Linked DNA regions of Callithrix jacchus. The protein of the gene in region 6 purifies or fractionates together with the protein of the main gene of each other region. This does not show direct contact. Links are inferred from orthologs where the notes say so. Each region holds a gene or a part of one and is shown on either strand. Other genes may lie near its edges. The genes, in order: NASP, HAT1, CABIN1, IPO4, CHAF1A, ASF1A and UBN2.

Region 1 (3,500 bases), on a different chromosome or scaffold from region 6:
TTGGCTTTCTACTGGCAATCTGGCAAAATAAGCCTTTATTAGTAATTGTTCAAGCTATACAAGATCAATGCTGAGGCTTATATGACTTACGTTTAGTTTTTTAGAGACAGTCTCACTATGTTTCTAAGTATTGAATTCCAAGCCTCAAGCAATCCTCCTACTTTGGCCTCCCAAAGTGCTGGGATTACAGGCAAGCGCCACCACACTGTGCCAACACTGAGACTTAATAAGTGACCAAAAACCACCTGAATACCCACCATAGAGACTGAAGAGATTCCTCCACTAGGAGTGAAACCTGAAGTAGAGCTCTCCACCTGTATGAGAAATGACAAACCCAATTGGTTTTAGTTTAGAACCCGGCCACTCACAGGTACCAATCACCAACCAAACAACTGATCTCAAATGCTAGTGGCCTCCATGTAGTGTCAAGATCATCTAACCCTGGCCAACCTATGCTTGTCTAGCAGCCACCCAAAGCATAGTCAGAGGGTACATAATAAACTAAATCTTCCATATCCTCCCTCCAGGGTAAAAAGCTCTGTGACATCCTGACAGCCAAAAACAGTACCAGGCAATTTGTGGTGAATGCCTCTCAATAAGTCACCAATTTATGCAAATGAGTTCTCAGAGATGGAAACAGCAACTTACATATTTTTTTCTTTTTTTTTTTTTTGAGACAGTGTTTCGCTTGTTACCCAGGCTGGAGTGCAGTGGCGAAATCTCGGCTCACCGCAACCTCCGCCTCCTGGGATCAGGCAATTCTCCTGCCTCAGCCTTCTGAGTAGCTGGGACAGGCATGCGCCACTATGCCCAGCTAATTTTCTTTTTTTTTTTTTAGTAGAGACGGGCTTTCACCATGTTGACCAGGATGGTCTCGATCTCTTGACCTCGTGATCTACCCGCCACGGCCTCCCAAAGTGCTGGGATTACAGGCTTGAGCCACTGCACCTGGCCAGCAACTCACATTTGTTAAGAAATGTCTAATTGTCCAGTACTGGCAGAAGTATATTTTATATACATGTACTACAGGTTGGGCATTCCATCTCTTAATCCAACAATCAAACTTTTTGAGGACTCGCATTGACACTCAAAGGAAATGCTCTCTGGAGCATTTCATAATTTGGGTTAAGGACATCCAACTGTTCAGTATGATGCAAGTATTCCAAAATCCAAAAGCATCTGAAATGCAAAAACACTTCTGGTCTCAAGCATTCAGGTAAGGATACTCAAGCTGTATTATCCATTTTACAAATGGGTCAACTGAGGGAGAGAAATGCCCATAGCCACACACACTAAGTATGGAATTAAAACCCAGATAGTCTGGGGCTCCAGAGTATTTCCTCTTAACCACTACATTATTTGATAGGAATAACAAGATGAGCCCACCAACTGCCTGGAAACCAAGTCATGATGAAAAGTTCCTGGCAAATGGAGTACTAACATAAATGGTACAAACATACTATTATCAAAATCTTGAAATGGAACCAACCAGAGTAGCTTTCAGAGCTAGTTCAGCTACATTCCCACTACGCTGAGACTCCTTTGCATCTTCTATCTTCTCTCTAATTTCAGGTAGCAGTTCCTTCAGCTCCTCAATTTCTTTCTTACATTCAGCAGATGATCGTTCAGCCTCCTTCACCTGCTCATTTAGTACAGCTGTAAAAAGAATAAGTGATAAGTGACAGCACAAAAAAGAACCACTTTTTTTCTTGTTAATTGATGGATCCACGATCACCATGAAGCAGCTCGTCTTCACTCACCCATTCTTTTCTCAATAACTTCAATAGATTTGCTGAACTGTGCAACTGCCTCATCATACTGAGAGTTGTACCCATAAGCCAAGCCCAGCTGGTAGTGGGTCTCTGCAAGGAGACGGTCGTGGGCTTCCAAGTACTGTTCCTGAAGGTTTAGGCAGGACTGGAATTCCTCCACAGCTTGTACATAGTTCTCTAATGAAGAGACAAAGAAGAGCAAGTAAATGGACAGCATTTAACATAAAATACTTCCAGAATTCAGACCCATCCTATGGGAATATGCCCCTATTTAATATTTCATTTTTGTATGTTTCCAGTCCCCTTGACTATAAAGAATGTCAAAATGACTTTTAAAAACCTACTCAAAGACTTTCTATCAGAGTACAACTTGGAAGAGACTGTTCATTATTCCATGTTCTACAGGAAATCTAAACCTGTCTTTTTAATGATCAATCAAGTTGGGTTCCAGAGAGTTTGTTATGGGAAGATCAGGAGAGATGAACAGAGTAGGAGAGTGTAAAATGGAAAATGCATTACCAGATTCAACACTGACTTCTCCGAGTTTAAGATGCGCCTGGGCAGCATAAAGCTGGGCTTCTTTTGTTTCTTGCCTAAAAGAAGGAAAGCTGATGAAAAACCTTAACAGTACTTGTCTAACACTGATTTCTATTTAATCACCAAGCTCCCAACCTGAGCCTAGAAGCACTAAGAGTTTTACCTTTTAAAAATGATCTTTGCTAAATCCAGCATATCCCAGGCAAGTTCTAGGTTCCCAATCTCTTCCTCTTCGTTTTCCTGAAGAGACTAAAGTATGTCCAAATAAAAAAGATAGGCATGTTTTCACAGTACAAATCTAAATGTATAATTTAGCATAGCTAAAAACAAAATAGTTGACATACAATTCAAAATTTGAACTTTCTCCCTATTATCTAGAGAATGGGTCCACATACTATCCTAAGTCATGACCATGTCAGTGGTATTTAACAGTGAAATGTTGGGTCACATATTAACACACATGACCCCTAATCAATATGTCCTTACATCTTAGGCACGAATAAAGGGTCCCTAATTCATAACCAAGAGATAATTATAATAATCATCCCTAGGGCTGGGCATGGTGGCTCATGCCTATAATCCCAACACTTTGGGAAGCTGAGGCAGGAGGATTACTTGAGGCCAGGTTTGAGACCAGCCTGGGCAGCATAACATCTAATAAAATTAGAGAACAAATTAACCAGGCATGGCAGCAGACATCTGGATACCTAGCTGTCTGAGAGGCTAAGGTGGGAGGATTCCTTGAGCTCAGGAGGCTGAAGATACAATGAGCCATGTTCATGCCAGCCTGGGCAACAGAAACAGGGATTCTATCTCTTAAAAAAAAAAATCATTGTGCCTAAACTAGTAAGCTACAGTCCTGCAAATTAGCTAGCCATGCTGGCATAAGCCTGTAGTCCCAGCTACTTGAGAGGCTGAGGTGAAGGGATTACTTAAGCCCTGAGGGTCGAGGCTGTAGTGAGCCATGATCACGATCACCCCACTGTAATCCAGCCTAGGCAACAAAGTGAACGCTTGTCTCCCAAAAAAGGAAAAAAGCAGACAACAGTACTGAGTAGCTAACAGTGTACCTTGTTTTCAAGGACTGAATCATTTGGCATTTCTTCAGCCTTATCATTTTCTTTATCATCCTCTTCTGAGCCTTCAGTTTCTAGAAGTAAAAATTCCTCAGTATTGAGAATATAACTAAAA
Region 2 (2,236 bases), on a different chromosome or scaffold from region 6:
TTATTCTCTAATAGAAGAATTGATACGATAATTTAGAACAGTATATCCAAAACATGAAAGCTTTATATTTGCAATAATGCCATCCAACCAGGAATCTTGGAGTTACTGTTCATTCTTCCTTCCCCGTATCACCCAGTATTTTCTCCCCTAAATCTGCCCTGTCCCCTCCGTCTCTGCTGCTGCTGACTTGATCTAGGCTTTCATCAACTCTGGTTTGAACTACTGCAGTAGCTGCCCAGTTGTCCAGTCCCATCCTAAACATCTCTGACATAGTATTGTTTTGACAGTGTCCTGCATAAAAGTTCTTACCAGCTACCTGTTCCAAACTCAGCATAGTGGTATCCTAAGTAAAACAGGGAGGGTTTAGTATGATAATGTGTGTCTGGAACTTCATAGAGACTCAAATGCTAGTGTGTGTGTGTGTGTGTGTGTGTGTGTGTGTGTAATATACAGTTTTTTTGAAACAGTCTTGCTCTGTCACCAGGCTAGAGTGCAGTGGCACGATTCTGCTCACTGCAACCTCTGCCTCCCAGGTTCAAGTGATTCTCTTGCCTCAGCCTCCTGAGTAGCTGGGATTACAAGCATGCGCCGCCGCCACGCCCAGCTAATTCTTTTTAAATTTGTAGTAGAGACCGTGTTTCACCATGTTGGCCGGGATGGTCTTAATCTCCTGACCTTGTGATCTACCTGTCTTGGCCTCCCAAAGTGCTGGGATTACAGGTGTGAACCACCATGCCCGACCTAGTTAATGTGTTTTTAAGTGTCACAGTTTCCCATTTATCTTTCTGAAACATTTCTAACAGTTTATGTTAAAATTAGCATGTGGCACATAAATACTTCATGGGTGGAATTTAAAATGTAATTAATGATTGAATAGTAAAATGAAGCATAATAGCACTTAATCTCAGTGGTCTTTCTTCACCTCATGTCTTTTATTTATTAAAGAAATATTTGAGTTTCCACACTGGCCAGAGTTCTCTAAAGTTTTGGAGGGGGCTCCTAGTCACATGTCTGTATTTATCATCAATTGGACACAAATACCAGGTCTTCCTGTTAACTGTTTTTAGAGAGTTTGCAATTCATGGTTAACATTATGTTTAAGCTTCCTTTAAAAAAAAAGTGTGGGACAAGTTTTGGCATATTTGTACTATTCTTATTTTTAACATTGGACACTTAAAGTTGTAAGACTACGAGGAAATATATTTGCTTTCTTAGTCTAACAAATAATTGTTTGTCACCTAGAAAAAGCAAAGAGATCTTGCTAAGATGAGAAAATGTCTCAGACCAGAAGAACTGACAAATCAGATGAACCAAATAGAAATAAGCATGCAACATGAACAGCTGGAAGAGAGTTTTCAGGAACTAGTAGAAGATTACCGGCGTGTTATTGAACGACTTGCTCAAGAGTAAAGATTATACTGTGGTGTACAGGAAGCTTGCAAATTTTCTGTACAATGTGCTGTGAAAAATCTGATGACTTTTAATTTTAAAATCTTGTGACATTTTGCTTATACTAAAAGTTATCTATCTTTAGTTGAATATTTTCTTTTGGAGAGATTGTATATTTTAAAATACTGTTTAGAGTTTATGAGCATATATTGCATTTGAAAAAGATAAAGCTTCTGAAATACTACTGCAGTTGCTTCCCTTCTTAAACAGTATAATAAATGCTTAGTTGTGATATGTTAATGTGTGATATGATTCTTAAATATTTACAATAAACCTTATTCTTATCATTCCTTCTACAGTTTGCTTCTAAGATTTTACATCCGACACCTTTAAAACATTTCTTTAAGGTTTATCCTGGTAATTTTACTTTTTCAATATGATTCTTCTTTCTTTTTTAAGTTCAGGGGTACATGTGGAGGTTCGTTACATAGGTAAACTTGTGTCCTGGGGGTTTCTTGCACAGATTATTTCAACATCCAGATACGAAGCCTGTACCAGTAGTTCATTCTTCTGCCCTTCTCCCTCCTCTCAGCCTGTCTTCGAGTAGACCCCAGTGTCTTGTTCCCTTCTTTTTGTCCATGTGTTCTTACCATTTAGCTCCCACTTGTGAGAACCTGCAGTATTTGGTTTTCTGTGCCTGTGTTAGTTTAATGGCTTCCAGCGCCATCTGTGTCCCCGCAAAAAACATGATCTTGTTCTTTTTTTATGACTGCATAGTATTCTGTGGTGTGTATGTACCACATTTTCTTTATCCAGTCTGTCACTGATGGACATTTAGGTTGCTTCC
Region 3 (3,500 bases), on a different chromosome or scaffold from region 6:
AGGGAACTCCTCAGCATGTCTGACCTGGAGTCTGGGGCCCGTCCAAGGCACTGCCCACCATGGCCATTGGCTGGAGGCTCAGCTACCCCCTGCTCATTTCCCCTCAGCCCAAGCTGACCACAAGAACAGTCCCAAGAGTGAACCTGCTTCTCAGTCTGCATCGTGGGGCCTTGTTGTGGGGCAGGCTCCACAAGATAAGACTGGCACAGGCTAAGTTGGGCTTACCTGTCTCTGGGCGGCAGCCCCGAGGTGGACTTGGCAGAACTTCACAGCCTGCTCCAGCGCAGCCTCCTCATCCACCTTAACAGGGAGATGCCCGAGATCAGGGGACCCAGGCCATTGTGGCTGGCCTCCCTCAAGCCCTGTCTGCATAGGTAGCACAGGCCAGCCTGGGCAGGGGGCATGCCCTGTGGCTCAGATACCCACCACCACCCCAGACTCTGCTGAATCGCCAGCTGTCCCCACTGCCGTCCACACCCAGATCCCACCTCCCAGCTCTTCATAGGCAGCAGGGGCAGGTGCCTGTCCAACTTTCAGGTGGGGGTGCCTGCACAGGTCCCACAGCACCAGGCACTGGTGCCAGGACTGAACCCAGCTATTCCTCTAAGCCCATCTGGCCATACCAAGTTCATTTCTATGGCTGAGTTACTTACATCCTCACAAGATGAAGCTGACAGGCAGACTCAGGGCCCCAACCAAGCCTTCAAATTTGGCTGAGGCCCAGTGGTTAGGGGATGAAGGGAGTCTCCTAAGCTAGAATGTGCCCCTTAAGTGGGCAGGGTGGAGGGCTGTGATCAGAGTGGGAGAGGCCTTTTGGAATTCCAGACCTGACGGTGAGAGCCCCATGCTGTGTTGAGTGCGTCCAGAGATTCAGTGCCCAAGGTCCACATGATATGGGGCAGGTGTAGGGGGTGCACTGCAAACTGACATGATTAGGGGAAAAACTGTCAGGGATGGTCATCCCATTTAAGCCAGTCACTAAAGTTTTGGAGATTCTTCCTATGGGAATAATTTTAAATGGAGAAAAAGGAAAGTGCCTGACATATTAAAATACATTTTTTTTTTTTAATAAGAAAGGCATTTCTGGTCACACTTAGGGCGCTGCAGTCATCTTTAAATGAGAGCCACAGAAGTCTTGACAGAAATGCCCTAAGATGTGCCCAGAGGCCCAGTGCAGCAGTGGGAGCAGTGGTCCAGACTCCCTGTGCTGGTGTGATGAAGTTTCTGTGATGGGCTCTCACTTCCTTCCAGGATGAATATCAACTTGTTAAAGCTCATTGCAGAAAGTGAACAGTGGGGATGGGATGGGAATGACACCTAAATCCACCCCAAGGGCGGCCTGGGACGACCCTCCTTGAGAACAGAAAGGCAAGAGTGGGGGTGCTGCCAGCAGACAAGTGCCCTCAGGCCTCTGCCCACCGCCCACCTGCTTGATGAGCATGTAGGTCTCCGACATGATCCTCTCCACACGGCCCAGGTCATAGGCCACGCCCTTCTGGCCCTGCTGCCACACACGGTAGGCGTCCAGCAGAAGTGTCTTGCCAGATTCTGTGTCCTCCAGGAGCTTCCTCTTGCGGCTGAGCCGGGGGAGCGGCTCCTCAGGGTGGCCGCCCCCCCTGGTCCCCATGGTGGTGGCAGGGGCAGGGGCTGGCTGGGCTAGGGTGAGCAGGGTGGGCTGTTGCCGAGCACTGATGCTCAGCTCCTCCAGGGACAGCTCAGTGGGCCGGCTCTCAGGGCCTCGGTCCCTCGGGGGGCGACCTGGCAGCAAGGGTGTTGTCCGCTCCAAGTCTGAGTGGCAAATAGTGGCCTCGCCTGTATCCATGGGCTCAGTGAGCCCTGCCCGGGGGCTCTCCTTGTCCTTCCGCTCCCCGCTTTGGTCTGCACTGTCTCCTGCATCCATGGCCACAGGCCGGTGGTTGAGAAGGCCCACTTTGCCCCCTGGCTCGGGGCCTGGCCCTGAACCATCAGTCAGAGGGGGCTTCTTTGGCTGGGGGAGGCCCTCCTGGCCATCCTCAGGAGTGGCCTTGTGTGAGACATCGGTGGTCATCCTGGCTCCAGGGAGGCTGCAGACCTTGGGCCCTGGGCGTTCTGACCCCTACAAAGAAACCAAAGGCAAGATGCTGTGTCGTTGGTATCTCCACTGTAATGAATCACCTCTGGGCACTGGTGTGCCCATCCTGGGCCTCTCCCACCTGACATCTGTCTGGCTCTGGATATCTGCCAGCTGGCCAGGGCTATGTCCCAGTTATCAGAGAAGAACAATGGGCCCAGAGACCTGCATAAGAAGAACCAACCCTTCTCTGTACCTCTAGCTGCCCCACCACATTCCCAGGTAGCAAGGGGCTGATGGGACTCTGGAGGTGGTGCTGCTCCTGAATAACAGGCCTGGGCTGAGTTGGGGCAGTACTGTCCAGCTCTTCTTCGACTCCATGATGTGAACTCTGGGCAGCTCTGGGCATTTTATGGGAGGGGACCTGTCCAGAGCCACCAAGCATGTTTGCTGCAGAGCCAAGTCTTCCTGGCCCCTAATGCATGAGGCCCTGCGGTTGGCAGGTGGCTGGCAAGGACTCCTCCCCAACAGGCTCAGGATGCCAACCTGATCCTCTGCACCGAGTCACAGCCAACCCTACCAGGCATAAGCTCTGGAGGCAGTCCTGGCTCAACTCTCAACAGCCCCACTGGCTAGGCTGGCTACTTAACCTCCCTGGCCTCCTCCAGGTGCTCAGCTGTGAGGAGGAGGCACCGCTGCACCTGCCTCGAGGCTGAAAAGGGACGATGCACACACACAGTGTTCTCGCAGGCCTTGTCAACCTGCTAGGGAGAGGGCTTGGGACCCTGCCCTGGGTGGTGCATGCCCTTGGGGAGCTCAGTTTTGTGGAGCCACTATGTCTCTTACTAATCACCAAGTGCATCCATGCCTCACTGAATTCACATGCATTCATGACCACGGCTAACCTTCCCTGCCTAGGAAGAGGCAGGATGGGTGCTACCTCATGGATGGGGATCCTTAGACACATCCTGCTTAGGTGTATGCAAACGGTGGGATTGGGCCCACCACCTGGGAAGAGCTTGGGAGCGTATTCACGGGGCTGTGGAGGAGAGGTGGATGCAGGTGGCATACCTCTGCAAGCTCGCTCAGTGTGTCCTCCAGCACCTTCACTGTGAGGATGAAGGCCCGCTGTGCCAGGACCTGGCGGTCAGCATCTCGTAGATACTTCCTATAGTCATATAGGGGTAGTCAGAGAGGACGGGAGAGCATCCCACACCACACAGCACTGCTGGATGGTGGCTGCTGCCCATGCCTGCCTTGGGGATGCCTTGAGGTTGGTTCCTCAGTGTCCCAACAGCCCACCTGTTGGTACTGCTCCCCTAGAAGTCCTCCAAGCTCCCTCTACCCACAGAGCCAGTAGGCTTCTGACCTGGCACCAGCCTGCTGCCCTTGGGCCCTCTGTAGTGGGTCCACCCTGTGTGCTGCACTCAGTGACAGCTGGGGAAGGCCT
Region 4 (4,182 bases), on a different chromosome or scaffold from region 6:
CTACTAAAAACACAAAATTAGCTAGGCATGGTGGCACATGCCTGTAATCCCAGCTACTGGGAGGCTGAGGCAGGAGAATCACTTGAACCCAGGAGGCAGGGGTTGTGGTGAGCTGAGATTGCACCATTGCACTCCAGCCTGGGCAACAAGAGCAAAACTCTTATCTCAAAAAAAAACAGTCTTCCAGGCCATAGGGGTCTGACAGAAGATTCCCAATATCCGAGGCAGGAGTTGGGGTGAGGCCAGGGCAAGGCTTGAACCCCCATAGTACTTTAGATACCCTGAGATGGACAGAAAGCCCCAAAAGTGAGATTAAGGGTGGAGATGGACAGTTGGTGATGTGTCAATGGTAACTCACCTTGCTTTTGACTTTGACCAAGAAAGTGAGGGAGCAAAGGATACGTACACGTATCGCATTGCCCAGGGCCACATTTCTAGCCACCTGTCCAGAGAATAATAAGAATCAGAGCCAGGCAAGCAAAGTCCCAGCAGGGCATGTAGCCGGTGCCATGTCCATTCCAGGCTCACCTCCAGGCAGAATGTGAGGACCTTAGAGAGGTGGGGAGTGATGATGGGTACCTCTGACTCCAACAGTTCATCCAAAGCCTCAAGGGCCTCACAGGCCTTTGCCTGACAGACAAAACAAGGCACAGGGTGACCATGCTCTTCTTCAGTGGGCCCAGCTGACACTTCTGCACTCTCCTTCCAACAGAGCTCCTGCCCACCTGTCCTCACCTCGTCTATGGGGATCAGGGTCTGCACTGCCACAATCAGCTTAGGCACCAACATCTGAGCGAGAGGCTAAAAGACACATCACAGAGAGCATGATGCAGCCTAATCTTACAACCCAACAGCTGGCAGCTTCCTCACAGCCTGAATTGTGAGGAGGAGCCCAGGAACAAGCCAGGCCCACCTACAGCATCCCCTCTCAATTGTCAGGAAGGGCCAAAGGCAGGTAAAGAATCCAAAGCAGCTTTGGGTGTGTGTGTGTGTGTGTGTGTGTGTAGGGGCCAAAGGCAGGTAAAGAATCCAAAGCAGTTTTGTAGGGTGTGTGTTTGTGTGTTTTGAAACAGAGTCTCGTTCTGTTGCCAAGCTAGAGTGCAGAGGTGCGATCTCAGCTCACATAACCTCTGCCTCCCTGGTTCAAGTGATTCTCCTGCCTCAGCCTACCGAGCAGCTGGGACTATAGGCACACACCACCACACCTGGCTAATTTATTGTACTTTTAGTAGAGACAGGGTTTCACCATGTTGTCCAGGATGGTCTCGATCTCTTGACCTTGTGATCTGCGTGCCTTTGCCTCTGAAAGTGCTGAGATTACAGGCATGAGCCACCATGTCTGGCACAGCTTTGTAACTTTTAAGGGTGAGGACATGAAGGCCTGAGGAAAGGCAGTCAGTGATATGAGTGGGCCCACATCTCACCACATCTTCAGTGCTGAGGTAGGGGGCCATGGTGGTCAGAGTACGCAGGGAGTAGAAGAGCAGCCCAGGAGAGCCCACCTCACCAAGAGTCTCATTCAGAAGCTGAAGAAGCTCCCTATGGTGGGGTTGGAAGGCCTCGGGCCAGGAGGTCACCACCACACTCAGCAGCAAAAGCCCCATCTGTCCAAGAGTAGAGGATGGGAGGGCGAGCTTACATGGTCTATCCGGCCTCTTGGGCCCTCCCTCCTCCTGCCAACTATGTAATGGTACCTCTCTCTCTGGGCTGTGGGGGCTGTGGGTACTGTGCTGAAGAAGCTGCAAAAGCTGAGGCCAGGCCTCCAGGCCTTCCTTTCGAAAAATGGTGCCTGAAAGCTGGGCCAAGCTGAGGATCACACAGTGCCTGCAAACAGGAGAGATCTCCAGTCACCCTCCAATGCCTTCCTCTTGAGTGGCCAGACTCATTGGGGCAGCCAGGAGGGAAACTTTCAGGAGTGGTGGGCACAGGGTCTTTGCCAAGTTGGGACACATGAGATAGAAGCTCAGAGGGAGCCCAGCTGCACTGCGGGCATGTAATCTGGTAAGCTCAGTCTTACTTAGCCTGAATTTCAGTCTCATTCTTCTGACTTTGGTTTGCCAGATCATCATCACCCTTTCTCAAGAACTTCAGTCTTCGAAACAGCCTTAAAATCTTCACTTTGGTCTAGAACGGAAGTCCTTGCCCCCCAAGTCCCAGCCTGCAGCTGAAGGGGAAGGCAGAAACCCAAAGAAGGTCGTCAAGATCCCGAGAGAAGGGAGTAGATACTCACTCTGTTTCTCTCTGCAGGGCCGTCAAGATCAGGGACTTGAGGCTAGAACACAGATGGCAGGTGTTTGGTACCCGGCCTGCCCAAGAAAAGCTTCCACCTGGCCCCGCCCCGCCCCAGGCCCAGCCCACCTCTCCCGTTGCTCCGCCGCCAGCCGTCGCCAGCGGGTGTTCAATCGTCTGCGGGTCAGCACGGCCGCAAACTGGCGGATCTGGGACGAGGAAGTAGGCATGTGGGGGTCCGGTAAGGAAGGTGCTGAGGGGACCGCACGGGGCGTTTACTGGGGCTTGGCCAGTGCAGGGGTCTCACCTGGGGGTCGGCTGCCGAGGTGAGCAGGTCGCAGAGAGCCGGCAAGGCGGCGGGGGCCCGCAGAGCGATGTGGAGCTGTTCCGTGGCCTAGGGGAAAGCTAGGAGTGAGAGTCGGGCCTTTCCCGCAACCTCCCGCTCGCCCTGGTCGGTTACGCCCGCTCCATACCCGAAGGATGCGCTCGGTGTCCGGCAGCAGCAGTTCCCGTAAGAGCTGCTCCAGACTGGCGGGCTCCATGGCAGCAGCTGAGCCGCCGCTATTGGGCTGAAAGGGGGAGGGGGAGGGGGAGGGACAGCACGTGGAGGCTGACAGCCACTTCCGGCGGAAAGGGCGTTGCCGCACGCCCCGCGGGTCGCCAAGGTGATTCAATTCACTTCCCACAAAGACGTCCGGCTCCTCCACTTCCGTTAGGCTGAGCACCGGCTGAGTCGCGGAAACCGTGCTCTGGCAATATAGGTTCCCCACGCTGAGAGTTCCCAAGCTGGGTTGGAGAACTCGAAATTCGGTTATTCCGTGGCCAGCTCCGCTTTCTAAAGGGCCGTGCCGTTAACAGCAGGGCTCGCGTTTCTATATCCAGACCAAAACCTCCAACTACATGATCCTTTTTCTTAATAAATTTTATTTTGATAATTGTAAAAAGAAAAATCAGGACCAAAACTAAAGGCAACTTAAAAAGTTCAAATATATATTCCTTAATATAATAGAGATTTATAATTTCCAGGCCCTCTCTGGGGAAGGAAGACCCAAAGGGCAAAGGGGAAGGCAACAATGCCATCACACAGTTCAGTCACTCAATCAAAAGAGAAGCTGGTAGGACAGCTCAACGGGGCGTGAAGAAAGGGAGAGAACAGCAGTAGTTCTGCCATTCAGAACTCAGTCCATTTTGAGGTTAACATAGATATAACGGATGAACTTGAGGGAAGAAAAAAAGGAGATGGTGCCCAGCATGAGGAAGAAGACATAACCAGTGAGTAAGGAGTAGCCAAAGAACTCTACTGTCTGTACTGCCCCAGACATGTTGGAGCGCCGGGCATAATAGAAAACTGAGTAGAGGAAGATGAAGAGGCCGGTGGAGCCAACACTTAGCACAGATCGCCACCACCAGCGGTAATCCTCCCCAGATAACTGGAAGTAGGTGAGTGCAATGGAGATGCAAGCCCCCACACTCAGCAGGATAGCGAAGACAAAGAAGAGGATGCCATACAAAGTGTACTGCTCCCGACCCCATACTGTGGCAAAGATGTAGTACAGCTCCACAGAGATGGCACTGTGAAGAAAAGAGATGATACACAGCATTAAAGGGCTGTGCACTGTCAGCACGGTGGCTGGGCCAAAATCCAGCCCCCACCCTCTCCCATGTTGCTGGGTCATTGTGAAAAGTGAGTTCACTCCACTCTCTGCCCCAGAACTCCTAGCTTCATGGGAATTTTTTGCCTATGATTAACTGCTCTCACTTCAAGAGTATCTTCCCTGATAGGTTAAGGGCAGGGATGTTGTCCATTTTACTTTCCACTTCATTCTCTGCTTGGCACAAAGAGGTATTCAACAAAGTAAATGAGTAATCAAATAGGCTTTAAGTCTCACATGATGGCCATAGACACTAAGGTTGGAAACCAGGAAGGTGAAGAGGGAGATGTCTCTAGAGAGC
Region 5 (3,500 bases), on a different chromosome or scaffold from region 6:
TATATAAAAGACTTTAGCCAGCCGATGCAAAATTACCACAAACAAAACCCATATTCCTGCGATGCAAATGCCTCAGTTGGTTGGGAACTGGAAGGACAGTCACAGGCAGAGACAAGGGGCCCAGGGTGAGTGGACATGGGGGAGCACAAAAGAGCAGGGAGCTGCTTTCCACTGCTCCCACGTCGGGGACGCACGTGCAGCTCACACAGGAGAAACAGAAAGGAACTGATGGCAGCCCCAGTCTGCCTGCGAAACACCAAAGGCCCATCAGAGCGGCCAGAAGTGGAATCCAGCAGCGGGGAGGTAGGCCCAGCACGGACGGCTGAGGGCACTCACTCCAGGGCTTCCTGCCTCTCCTTGCGCCGCTCTTCCTTAAGCCGCTGCTTCTCTGCCTTCTCCTTCTCATCCTTCTCCCGTTTCTCCCGCCTCTCCTTTTCCTTCAGCTCCTTCTCTTCCTCCTTCTTCTTCTTGGCCTCTTCCTTGGCCCGCTTGGCCTCCTCTTTCAGCTTCTCCTTTTCTTCTCTTTCTGCACGTAACTTGAGCTGTTTGCCCAGGCGCTCCTGATCCTGTAAGACAGTGTGGCAGGTGACAGGTGGCCTTCTTGCCAGTCCCCAGGAGGGAGCTCAAGACAGTGTCAAGTGGCCCTCTCTCTTGATCCCAGGAGGAAGCTCTGATCAGAGCATGGGGGAAGAGCTGGGCCTAGATGAGAGGGACAGAATTTGGGGACCAAGGCCAGGCGCAGTGGCACATGCCTGTAATTCCAGCACTTCGGGAGGTCAAGGTGGGTAGATCACCTGAGGTCAGGAGTTCGAGACCAGCCTGGTCAACATGGTGACACCCAGTCTCTAATAAAATTCCGAAAATTAGCCAGGCGTGGTAGAGGGTAGCTGCCTGTACTCCCAGCTACTTAGGAGGTTGAGGCAGGAGAATCACTTGGACCCAGGAGACCTAGGGTGCAGTGAGTTAAGATCATATCATTGCACTCCAGCCTGGGCAACCAAGTGAGACTCAGTTAAAAAAAAAAAAAGAATTCAGAGATCAGCTGCAGGAAGAGCCTCCAATCAACAACCTTACACAGAAGTAAGTTTATTTTTTTTTTAGTTGAAGTCCACTCTGTTGCCCAGGCTGGAGTACAGTGGTGTAGTCACAGCTCGCTGCAGCCTCGACCTCCCAGGCTCAAGCAGTCCTCCTGCCTCAGCCTCCTGAGTAGCAGGGAATACATGCACATGCCACTATACCCAGGCATTTTTATACTTTTCCTAGAGATGGAGTTTTGCTGTGTTGCTCAGACCGGTCTTGAACACCTGGGCTCAAACAATCTCTCTGCCTCAGCCCCCAAAGTGTTGGGATTATAGGCATGAGCCATAGCACCCAGCCACAGAAGTGATTTTCATCGTCCATTATGCTTCCCTCCATCATGAGAAAAATGATAATAATTAGCCCTGTGTCCGATACATGTGGGCAATTCAATATAAGATTCATTTAAAACACAATCGGGCCGGCGCAATGGAGCTCACTCCTATAATCCCAGCACTTTGGGGGGCTGAGGAAGACAGATTGCTTGAGGCCAGGAGTTCAAGAACAGCCTGGCCAACAAGGTAAAACACCATCTCTACTAAAAATACAAAAAATTTAGCCAGATGTGGCGATGCACACCTATAGTTCCAGCTACTCAGGAGGCTGAGGCACAAGAATCACTGGAACACAGAAGGCAGTTCAAGATCATGCCATGGCACTCCAGCCTGGGCAACAGAGCGAGACTCTGCCTAAAAAACAAACAAAAAAACCCCAAAGCATTTACTAATTTGAAGATGGGGTCTCATTCTAGTGCCCAGCCTGGAGAGCGGCAACACTATCTTGGCTCAATGAAACCTCCGTCCTGGGCTCACAGCAATCTTCTGACTGGGCGTAGTGGCTCACGCCTGTAATCCCAGCACCCTGGGAGGCTGAGGCGGGTCAATCACAAGGTCAGGAGCTCAAGACTGACTGGCCAATATGGTAAAACCCCGAGACTACTAAAAGTACAAAAAAATTAGCTGAACATGGTGGTGTGCACCTGTAGTCCCAGCTGCTCGGGAGGCTGCGGCAGGAGAATTGCTTGAACTCAGGAAGCAGAGGTTGCAGTGAGCCCAGATGTGCCACCATACCCCAGACTGGGAAACAGAGCAAGACTCCATCTCAAAAAAAAAAAAAAGCCATCTTCTTGCCTCAGCCGCCTGAGTAGCTGGGACTACAGGTACCTATCACCGCACCTGGCTAATTCTTGTAAAGACAGAGTCTCACCATGTTGCCAAGGCTGATCTTGAACTTCTGTGCTCAAGTAACCTGCCCAACTCAGCCTCCCAAAATGCTAGGATTATAGGCATGAGCCATCACAACCAGCCCAGGTTTTTTTCTCTCTTTTCTTTTTTGAGACAGAGTCTCGCTCTGTCACCAGGCTGGAGTGCAATGGCGCCACCTTGCTCACTGCAACCTCGAACTCCCTGGTTCAAGCGATTCTCCTGCCTCAGCCTCCTGAGTGGCTGGGACTATAGGCGCATGCCACCGCGCCCAGCTAATTTTCGTATTTTTAGTAGAGACAGGGTTTTCCCACATTGGTCAGGCTGGTCTTGAACTCCTGACCTCTTCTTGATCTGCCCACCTTGGCCTCCCAAAGTGCTGGGATTACAGACATGAGCCACCACACCTGGCCTCAAATTCTTTAAGAGAGTAACACTTCATTGCTAAGTTCCTCATTCCAAAGACTTGGTAGTGCCCTGGACACTCAGTCATTATGTCACCTGAAGTTTAATGTTAAACACGGTCAGCTGGGCGTGGTGGCTGACGCCTGTAATCCTGGCACTCTGGGAGATCCAGGCAGGCGGATCACTTGAGGTCAAGAGTTTGAGACCAACTTGGCCAACATGGTGAAACCCTGTCTCTACTAAAAATACAAAAATTAGTCAGGAGTGGTGGCGTGTGCCTGTAATCCCAGCTACTGGGGAGGCTGAGGCAGAAGAATCGCTTGAACCTGGTAGGCGGAGGTTGCAGTGAGCCGAGATCTTGCCACTGCACTCCAGCCTGGGCAACGGAGGGAAGACTCCATCTCAAAAAAAAAAAAAAACACAAAATGATCACCTGCCCGGCTCCACAGGTGCCCACTCCCAGCACAGAATGAGGACCATCTCTCTCCAATACGGGATTCCCACATGTCTGGAGCCTGACAGCTCAGCTTTCAGTTTGGGTTAAGAGTATCTGCCTTTGTCTCTAAGGAAATGCTCTAAATGTGTCCCAGTACATCTCTGGTAGCCTTAACAAAAGCCAGAGAGACACAGTCTGAAAGATGTCAATTTTCATTTCTTGCCAGTGTCCTGTGTGACTGCATCTGACATACAACACAGATGACAAAGGTGACTGTCTGTACTGAACAAGGACACTGTTAACATACCTGTGGGTGGAGCAGTCTCCCGTCCTATTCCTAAGCAAGAAATAGAAGGCTTCTAGAAACTTCAAGTGAATCA
Region 6 (3,981 bases):
AAAAACTAAAAAATTAGCCTGATATGGTGGTACATTGACCGTCTTCTCAGCTACTCAGGAGGCTGAGGTGGGAGGACTGATTGAGATTGTAGGGAGCTGTGTTTGCACCACTGCACTCCACCCAGCCTGAGTGACACAGTGAGACCCTGTCTCATTTAAAAGAAAAATTTTTTCTATAGTTTAAGAATTTTTTTTTAAAAAAACTATAATATAAAAGTATGGAACCTATAAGAAACCTTTGCTAAGTAAACTCATTTCCTAAATCCACATAGCCTCTAGGTGGAGTACACAGTCATGGCCCCTTTTTGAAAGATTCCTTTGCAGCTTTGGCATGACTCAGCTTAAAATATTTTTTAAAATACTAAATACTCAGTAATGGTGCCTTGGAAGTGAAATATACCATTGGAAATAAGCATATTCTTGACACCAGTACTGTAAAACCCTGATGTGATTCAGCTGGGTTCTGAATGGATCCCACTTAAAAATGGAACATGTTTTGGCTTCTATGAATGGCTGGTTTCATCTATAACGACATCCTGAGTCATCTATCTTCTTTGTTCAGAGCTGACTCCTAAAATGGAAGGCATCACTTGAGAAATACCTGTAATTTGAAGAACTTCTGGTGGTATATTTGAAGAACACTGTGGTATAATTTGGAATGGACTGACCAATGATTTTTCTTTTGTCTGTTTTTATATGCAATTGGCAATAAAAAAGAAAAATTTACTGACTGTTGGGTGTGAAAAATGGTGCTGGTAGCTGCAATGCTTATATTAATAGTAGTATCGTAAGAGAATAATCAGATGACTTCAGAGTAATACGAAAAATACCCCTTAATGTTATCAATGGCCTATTTGAAATTATTTTAATAAATGAATTATCTTTTAAAATTTGCCCTATATGTGTATTTATGCTCTGCATAGGTCTTAAAAAACAGAGGCACACATGTTAAAGTAATAATTGTGATTACCTAAAGGAGTGAGATAGGGGAAGGTATTTAACACAGAGAACTGTTAACTTTATATATGCCTGTACAACTTTCTATAAGTTTATTACAATGAACATATATTGTTTTTATAAAGTTAACAACTCACATAAGATATATACATTTTAGAGATTAAAAACTAGTTTTTAAAATGAAAATAGTTTTACATGCTATGATTAGCCAAATCTTCAATGCATTTTAAAAATATACTTCTAATTCAAAGATGTCCCTCATCGATGAAGTTAAACTTTTTCCCCTTCAAAACTGGCAAATTAAGCACTGAATTACTTTAGTAAAATAAAAGCAAGGATAATTGTCGTTTTAGCTTTCTAAATATTACTACACATATTTTAAAATACGTATTTTTAAGACCTTGAAACATGTAGAAAAAAATATAAAGAATTCTTGGACTAAGTATTTTACCTTAATTTTCTAGCCTACGTTTGTGTTTCATGTTCAGGGTGTGTTGTGTATCTGGATGTGGAGTTATTTTAGATTTCAACACGTCCTTGAAGAAAGTCTTAAAGACTATTTAGAAGGCAAAGATTAAGTCCTGAAATTATTTAAGTATCCAATTTCTGCTCTTAGGTTAAATGTAACTTCCTAGCTCAGCTCTTATTTCTCTTCCTGAGATTAGCTTTTCGTCATTAGGGGAAAGGAGTCCACGTTGGTTGGGGAGCCTGCGCGCCAGCATCCCGGCGCATCCCGGGCGCCGGCCGAGGAGGACCGGCCGAACAGGACCCGCGGCCCCCGGGGAACGCCGGCGCCCAGCCCGCGGCGCGGAGGGGCCGAGCCTGTGCCCGCCTCCCCTGCTGGTTGGTCGAGGGAGCCAGAAATCAGCGCGAGGACAGCCTCGCTCTCCTCTCTGAAGCGGCCGGGCATGGCCAGCCCGGAGAGTGAGGCGACTCCACTGTGAGCTCTAGAGAGTTGACTACCTGCCTTTCGCCAGGGGCTGGAGGGCAGGCGGGCGGCGGGGCAAGAGAAGGCGCCGTGCGCCGGGGTCGCTGGCCCAATTCTCGACTCGGGGTAAGATGGCTCCGCTCCGAACTCGCCGGCGCTACTACACGCACAGCCTCTCCCTTCCCAGCCTCCGTGCCCAAGCCCGGAGGGTCGTGGAGGCTGGTCGTGGAGCCAGCCCCGCGCGACCCCCGGCGGCGCCGCGGGCGCGAGTGCCGGTCTCCGAGCTGCCCGCTCGCAGACAAAGCTGACAACATGGCTACCTCCGCTCCTCGGCTCAAACAAGTTCCTCGCAAGTTGAGCCCGGCAGACGCCTGGGCTGCGGCGGAACGCCGCGCGCGCCTCGGCTGCCGTCGTCCATCAACTTCAAGTTTCCCTCCGCAGAGGAGCCCGCGGCCGCCCGGCGCCGAGCACGGCCGCCCAGCGCGAGGCCGGGCCCGGGAAACTTTCAACGTCTGCAGCCCGCAACTGACAGCCCGGGTGCGCGGGCGCCGCACTCACCTTCAGACAGGTCCTCGATGCACTCGAAGGTGATCTCGAACTGGAACGGGTTGTAGAAAGGAGAAGGATTATCCAGCACCACTACATTGTTCACCTGAACCTTTGCCATATTTTGAAAAAAACACAAACAATGGGAACTGGGGCTGGTTGCGGCACAATAAAGTCCAGCGCGCGGCCGCCCGGGAGAGCGCAGACCCCCGCCCCAGCGCCGGCCCGACGTCGTGCAGCGGCGACTTGAGAAACTTTTTTTTCCCTCTTTTTATTTACACGGGAACACTCCACAGTGTTTTGCAGCTTTCCTATTTCACTAAACTACAGCCCATTCTGCTCTGATAAGTAGCAGCGTTGCCCTCGATTGGCTGCACCCGAGCTCTGACCCTCCTCCTCCAGCGAGTGCCTCGGCAGCCAGCAAGATGGGCTCCCGCTCCCGGAATGGACTCGGAAACTTTAACTGCGGCTCCACCTGCTGGTGTGGATTAGGACAAAGGCGGAGAACAAAGTGAGTGGAATAAGGGCTGGGAGGCCCGCGCGGAGGCCGCCGCCGGCGTCGCGGAGAGAGGCGAGGGGCGTGGCCGCGGCGGGGAGGCGTGGCCGTGGCGGGAGGGCGCGATCCGGGCGACGCCCGCCCCTCTAGTTGGTTTCGTGTGAGGTGTTTTGGCGTTTTTTGTTTTTTGGTTTTTTGTTTTAACGCTTTTTTTTCTTTTTTTTTTTTTTTTACATCGGTGCAAAGGCTCTGACGGCCTTGCTGAATTTAGCAGATGAGAGTCCGTGTTTACACTGGGTTAGGTTCAGCTTTCTGTGTATCGGGTAGTATTTGGAGTAGAGAGAATGATTAGCTGCAGTGGAAATAAATTGCATGTTAAAGACCGATGTCGGCTCGAAAGGAGCAAAGCCATTTTGGAAATCTAGCTCTTGGCCAGTATCTACGTTTGGGCACGACAGCGCCGTTAAGCAGACACAAAATGAAGGGCGAGGAATGATTTTCCACACACTGTGCTTGGAAAATCTAAATAGGTAACCTTTGGGCTTGCACCTGGGCGTCGTCTTCCGAGTCCAGATCTGGAAAGTCCTAGAATAAGAAAAGAATCACAAGCGATGTGATTAGTTATACCCCAGGTTACAGCCATTTGGAGAGAACAGAAAATGGAAGTGTCAGGAGACCAACAGGGCAACAAACATAACAGATGGGAAAAGAACACAAAGGCATAGCAAGACATTTGATCTTCAAAAAAAAATTCTTGACCTAAACCGTTAGTAAATAAAAATTTGTAGCACAGCAAGCAAATTCTCAGGAGCCCTTGCTTGCCTGTAACCAGTTCGGGTTTGAACTGAGGAAACGTTGATTCGTTTATGCGGCTTGACTACCATTGCAGGGAAAGAGGAAGCTTTAACATGTCTGTGAGCCTAAACCGTTTCTATTTAGTAAGTGATGTAAAGGGTTGTTTTATTACCTGCTATCCATAAACCATCACTTTTTTCCTTAAATGTTGTGAATGAAACCACCAAACTTGGCCAAATTCAGAGAGAAAAATTCTTAA
Region 7 (3,500 bases), on a different chromosome or scaffold from region 6:
TTTAAATACCTAATTAAGTGGGTTTTTTTGGAGACAGAATCTCACCATGTTGCCCAGGCAGGGCTCAAACTCCTGGACTCAAAGCAATCCTCCTGCCTTGGCCTCCCCAAAGTGCTGGGATTACAGATGTAAGCCACTGTGCCCAGCCTGAATCTTATTGATAATTTCCCAGTACCGGGTTGGGAAGAAGCTGTATAATCCTGGCATGACTACTATAGAGATAGACATTATTTGATATGAGCTATAAGAGAGTCTTACAAGATTGAAACACACTCAATCACTAACCAATTTTGTTTAAGTGAGCATGAGGCCGGGCACAGTGGCTCACACCTGTAATCCCAACACTTTGGGAGGCCAAGGTGGATGGATCACCTGAAGTCAGGAGTTTGAGAGCAGCCTGGCCAACATGGTAAAACTCTGTCTCTACTAAAAATACAAAAATTAGCTGTTGTGGGGAGCACCTGTAATCCCAGCTACTTGGGAGACTGAGGCAGGAGACTGCTTGAATCCGGAGGTGGAGGTTGTGGTGAGCCAAGATTATGCCACTGCACTCCAGCCTGGGTGACAAAGCGAGACTCCATTGCAAAACAAAACAAATCGGCCGGGCACGGTGCCTCAAGCCTGTAATCCCAGCACTTTTGGAGGCCGAGGCGGGTGGATCACGAGGTCAAGTGATCGAGACCATCCTGGTCAATGAGGTGAAACCCCCGTCTCTACTAAAAATACAAAAAAATTAGCTGGGCATGGTGGCGCGTGCCTGTAATCCCAGCTACTCAGGAGGGTGAGGCAGGAGAATTGCTTGAACCCAGGAGGCGGAGGTTGCAGTGAGCCGAGATCGCACCATTGCACTCCAGCCTGGGTAACAACAGCAAAACTCCGTCTCAAAAAAAACCCAAAAAACAAAAAACAAAAAAAATCCTGACCTTGAATCCTGGCTCGGCCACTTAAAAATTATGTGGCCTTGGGTTAAGTTACTTAATGTTCTTGAACCTTATTTTCCTCATAAATTAAACGGGAGAAACACTACCTAAAGCATGACTGTTGAGAAGATTATACAACACAGTGTGTAAAACATATGAAACCCACTCAGGGCTACCGTCTCCTGAGAAGTAAATGGGGCCGTGTAGGACGTAGCTGCACCGCAACCAACACACAGGGTTCTTGCTAAATAAACGATAGCTATTATTAATTACACCTTGAAAAACCTGAATTACATCACTAGCACTTTTTAAAACCTAAAAGAAACTAAGATTGTAGAGATAGGGCCACACGGAATAACAAAAAGCCTATGCCACTTATTCTGGAGTCAGGTGAATCCTGCATTTAATAATAAAAGAATCAACTGTATCGATGTTATCACTATAGTTATTTCTATTTATTTATTTTTATTTTATTTTATGTTATTTATTTTTTTGAGAAAGAGTTTCGCTCTGTCACCTAGACTACAGTGCAGTGGCATGATCTCAGCTCACTGCAACCTCTGCCTCCCAGGTTCAAGTGATTCCCCTGCCTCACCCTCCTCAGTAGCTGGGATTACAGGCGTGTGCCACTATGCCCACCTAAATTTTTTTGTATTTTTAGTAGAGACAGAGTTTCACCGTATTGACCAGGCTATTCTCAAACTCCTGACCTCAGGTGGTTCACCCGCCTTGTCCTCCCTCAAGTGCTGAGATTACACGCATGAGCCACCATGCCCAGCCAGTTATTTTCTACTAAAAAGAAAGGTCTAGGCTGGGCATGGTGGCTCACACCTGTAATCCCAGCACTTTAGGAGGCTGAGGTGGGCAGATCACCTGAGGTCAGGAGTTAGATCAGCCTGGCCAGTGTACCAAAAACCCCATTTCTACTAAAAAAAATTAGCCAGGTGAGGTGGTACACACCTGAAATTCAAGCTACTTGGGAGGCTGAGGCAGGAGAATCGCTTGAACCCAGGAGGCAGAGGTTGCAGTGAGCCAAGCACACCACTGCACTCCAGCCTGGGAGACAGAGCAAGACTTTCTCTCAAAAAAAAGAAAAGAAGAAAAGGTCTAAAAGGAAACATGGAAAACAAAAAGTCAGAAAAATGTTGGGACTGTAGGTTATTATTTTTATCTTTAATAAAACCAAAGCAATTATATCAGTGATATGTGGAAAATAAAAACAAACAAAAGCATTAATTTTCATGTTTATGCAGCAAATAAAAAGCAAGAGGATTATTACACTTACTACACGGAGGTCTTCGATACGTTTTTCAAGAAGTACAGGTAGACCCTCTGGGAGTGTAGGTACCACTTTGGGCATAACCTGAGAAGTATAGGTTGGCTGGGTGGTGGTTCCATTTTCACCCCCTGACTCAGACAGGGGGCTACCATCAGAAGCAGCATCCAGTAATCTGTCGAAGTCGAAATCATCTAGCATCTCTAGGGCATTTTCGGCTTCCTGAAACAGCTCATGTTCACTTGTGCTAACAAAAATGGGAAGGTCTGGATCAGCGCTGCTCAGATTTAAGTCCGGGACATCATTCCCCAGTGCTGCAGTGGCACAAGGGGGTTTATTCAGAGAGGAAGTTGACGAGGTCACTGGGACTTTGGGGCTAGACTCCTTCTTTAATGCATCCTTCTCCTTCTGGAATTTTCTAATCATGGCAGCTAGAGAAAGAGAATCTTTATAACGTTTCTTCTTTTTTTCACACTTGTGTGAATTTAGAGCCACAACTCTGTGAAGAAAAAAATGATCCAGCTATGTGTGATTTTAAAGGTTAAAGTGTCATATAAATAAATACGTGCAGAATTAAAGTAATCATTTGACAGGTAACAGCAGTTTTCCTAATTTCTTATTAATTTATACTATTATAATAGCATCTTCTTCCCTTGAAAGGCAAATAGGTAAATGGCCATTATGGTGAAAAAAATGAGGAAAGAGCTCAGTTTAGCTATTACTTTCTCCTAGAAATCTTACCTAAATCCTATGGCTTAAATGCTTCCAAATGTGCACTACAGAACCTAAAAGGTTATTAGCATCTTGAAGGTAGACCCATGTTTCAGTCACTGTTACACAACCCAAACCCTACATCAGTGCCTGCCATACAGCAGGGTACTAATATTTGCTGAATGAATGAATAAGTTATATAGCTGAAAAACAATACATTCAATAAAAGGGATTACTTGTAGCCTACATTCCCAAAGAAGTTTACTTGTAAATAACGAAAATTTAAGACAATCATTAGTAATATAAACATTTTTGTCTCCTAATTTCTTAATGACTGTAATCCCAAGTTTTAGGAGGGAAGAAATACCCTCTACATCAACCTTATGGATACTGATAGCCCAAAATTCAGGTGTATCTCCACTGGTAAGTACAGAAACAAAATTCAGCCTTTCACAAGTGTCTTTCCCTTAGCTCTGTGAAAAAAGCCACAGAGAAGTCGAGGCAATTGACAATTTTTTGATTGCACTATACAAATATTTTATTCTGATGTAAGGCTTCTGAGAAATTCTATTTGATTTTTAGCAGCAACATCA

Evidence for each region.
Region 1: the proteins of ASF1A (region 6) and NASP purify together in Homo sapiens (affinity purification with mass spectrometry; 6 studies listed by BioGRID and IntAct, counting the BioPlex papers as one, with this or other methods). This does not show direct contact. The link is inferred for Callithrix jacchus from reciprocal best matches to the Homo sapiens genes ASF1A and NASP.
Region 2: the proteins of ASF1A (region 6) and HAT1 purify together in Homo sapiens (affinity purification with mass spectrometry; 4 studies listed by BioGRID and IntAct, counting the BioPlex papers as one, with this or other methods). This does not show direct contact. The link is inferred for Callithrix jacchus from reciprocal best matches to the Homo sapiens genes ASF1A and HAT1.
Region 3: the proteins of ASF1A (region 6) and CABIN1 purify together in Homo sapiens (affinity purification with mass spectrometry; 4 studies listed by BioGRID and IntAct, counting the BioPlex papers as one, with this or other methods). This does not show direct contact. The link is inferred for Callithrix jacchus from reciprocal best matches to the Homo sapiens genes ASF1A and CABIN1.
Region 4: the proteins of ASF1A (region 6) and IPO4 purify together in Homo sapiens (affinity purification with mass spectrometry; 4 studies listed by BioGRID and IntAct, counting the BioPlex papers as one, with this or other methods). This does not show direct contact. The link is inferred for Callithrix jacchus from reciprocal best matches to the Homo sapiens genes ASF1A and IPO4.
Region 5: the proteins of ASF1A (region 6) and CHAF1A purify together in Homo sapiens (affinity purification with western blotting; 3 studies listed by BioGRID and IntAct, with this or other methods). This does not show direct contact. The link is inferred for Callithrix jacchus from reciprocal best matches to the Homo sapiens genes ASF1A and CHAF1A.
Region 7: the proteins of ASF1A (region 6) and UBN2 purify together in Homo sapiens (affinity purification with mass spectrometry; 3 studies listed by BioGRID and IntAct, counting the BioPlex papers as one, with this or other methods). This does not show direct contact. The link is inferred for Callithrix jacchus from reciprocal best matches to the Homo sapiens genes ASF1A and UBN2.

The regions. Positions count from the first base shown.
Region 1 is NC_133508.1:82,362,397-82,365,896, reverse strand, and holds part of NASP (nuclear autoantigenic sperm protein), read right to left. Parts: intron 3,460-3,500; coding exon 3,380-3,459; intron 2,559-3,379; coding exon 2,473-2,558; intron 2,366-2,472; coding exon 2,292-2,365; intron 1,950-2,291; coding exon 1,761-1,949; intron 1,657-1,760; coding exon 1,490-1,656; intron 315-1,489; coding exon 258-314; intron 20-257; coding exon 1-19. UniProt on the Homo sapiens protein: Component of the histone chaperone network. Binds and stabilizes histone H3-H4 not bound to chromatin to maintain a soluble reservoir and modulate degradation by chaperone-mediated autophagy.
Region 2 is NC_133507.1:57,533,163-57,535,398, reverse strand, and holds the end of HAT1 (histone acetyltransferase type B catalytic subunit), read left to right. Parts: intron 1-1,242; coding exon 1,243-1,410; 3' UTR 1,411-1,736; downstream 1,737-2,236. UniProt on the Homo sapiens protein: Histone acetyltransferase that plays a role in different biological processes including cell cycle progression, glucose metabolism, histone production or DNA damage repair. Coordinates histone production and acetylation via H4 promoter binding.
Region 3 is NC_133502.1:195,264,595-195,268,094, forward strand, and holds part of CABIN1 (calcineurin-binding protein cabin-1), read right to left. Parts: intron 3,219-3,500; coding exon 3,122-3,218; intron 2,096-3,121; coding exon 1,427-2,095; intron 924-1,426; coding exon 828-923; intron 301-827; coding exon 226-300; intron 1-225. UniProt on the Homo sapiens protein: May be required for replication-independent chromatin assembly. May serve as a negative regulator of T-cell receptor (TCR) signaling via inhibition of calcineurin. Inhibition of activated calcineurin is dependent on both PKC and calcium signals.
Region 4 is NC_133509.1:58,495,158-58,499,339, forward strand, and holds the start of IPO4 (importin-4), read right to left. Parts: upstream 2,801-4,182; 5' UTR 2,772-2,800; coding exon 2,703-2,771; intron 2,624-2,702; coding exon 2,537-2,623; intron 2,471-2,536; exon of another isoform or gene 2,439-2,470; coding exon 2,359-2,438; intron 2,273-2,358; coding exon 2,231-2,272; intron 1,825-2,230; coding exon 1,695-1,824; intron 1,605-1,694; coding exon 1,425-1,604; intron 802-1,424; coding exon 736-801; intron 631-735; coding exon 529-630; intron 443-528; coding exon 359-442; intron 1-358. Other genes in the region: TM9SF1 (transmembrane 9 superfamily member 1), read right to left, coding at 3,408-3,801. UniProt on the Homo sapiens protein: Nuclear transport receptor that mediates nuclear import of proteins, such as histones, RPS3A, TNP2 and VDR. Serves as receptor for nuclear localization signals (NLS) in cargo substrates.
Region 5 is NC_133523.1:4,171,129-4,174,628, reverse strand, and holds part of CHAF1A (chromatin assembly factor 1 subunit A), read right to left. Parts: intron 567-3,500; coding exon 337-566; intron 1-336. UniProt on the Homo sapiens protein: Acts as a component of the histone chaperone complex chromatin assembly factor 1 (CAF-1), which assembles histone octamers onto DNA during replication and repair.
Region 6 is NC_133505.1:125,225,159-125,229,139, reverse strand, and holds the start of ASF1A (histone chaperone ASF1A), read right to left. Parts: upstream 2,801-3,981; 5' UTR 2,553-2,800; coding exon 2,444-2,552; intron 891-2,443; exon of another isoform or gene 595-890; coding exon of another isoform or gene 563-594; intron 1-562. UniProt on the Homo sapiens protein: Histone chaperone that facilitates histone deposition and histone exchange and removal during nucleosome assembly and disassembly.
Region 7 is NC_133512.1:108,052,224-108,055,723, forward strand, and holds part of UBN2 (ubinuclein-2), read right to left. Parts: intron 2,696-3,500; coding exon 2,206-2,695; intron 1-2,205.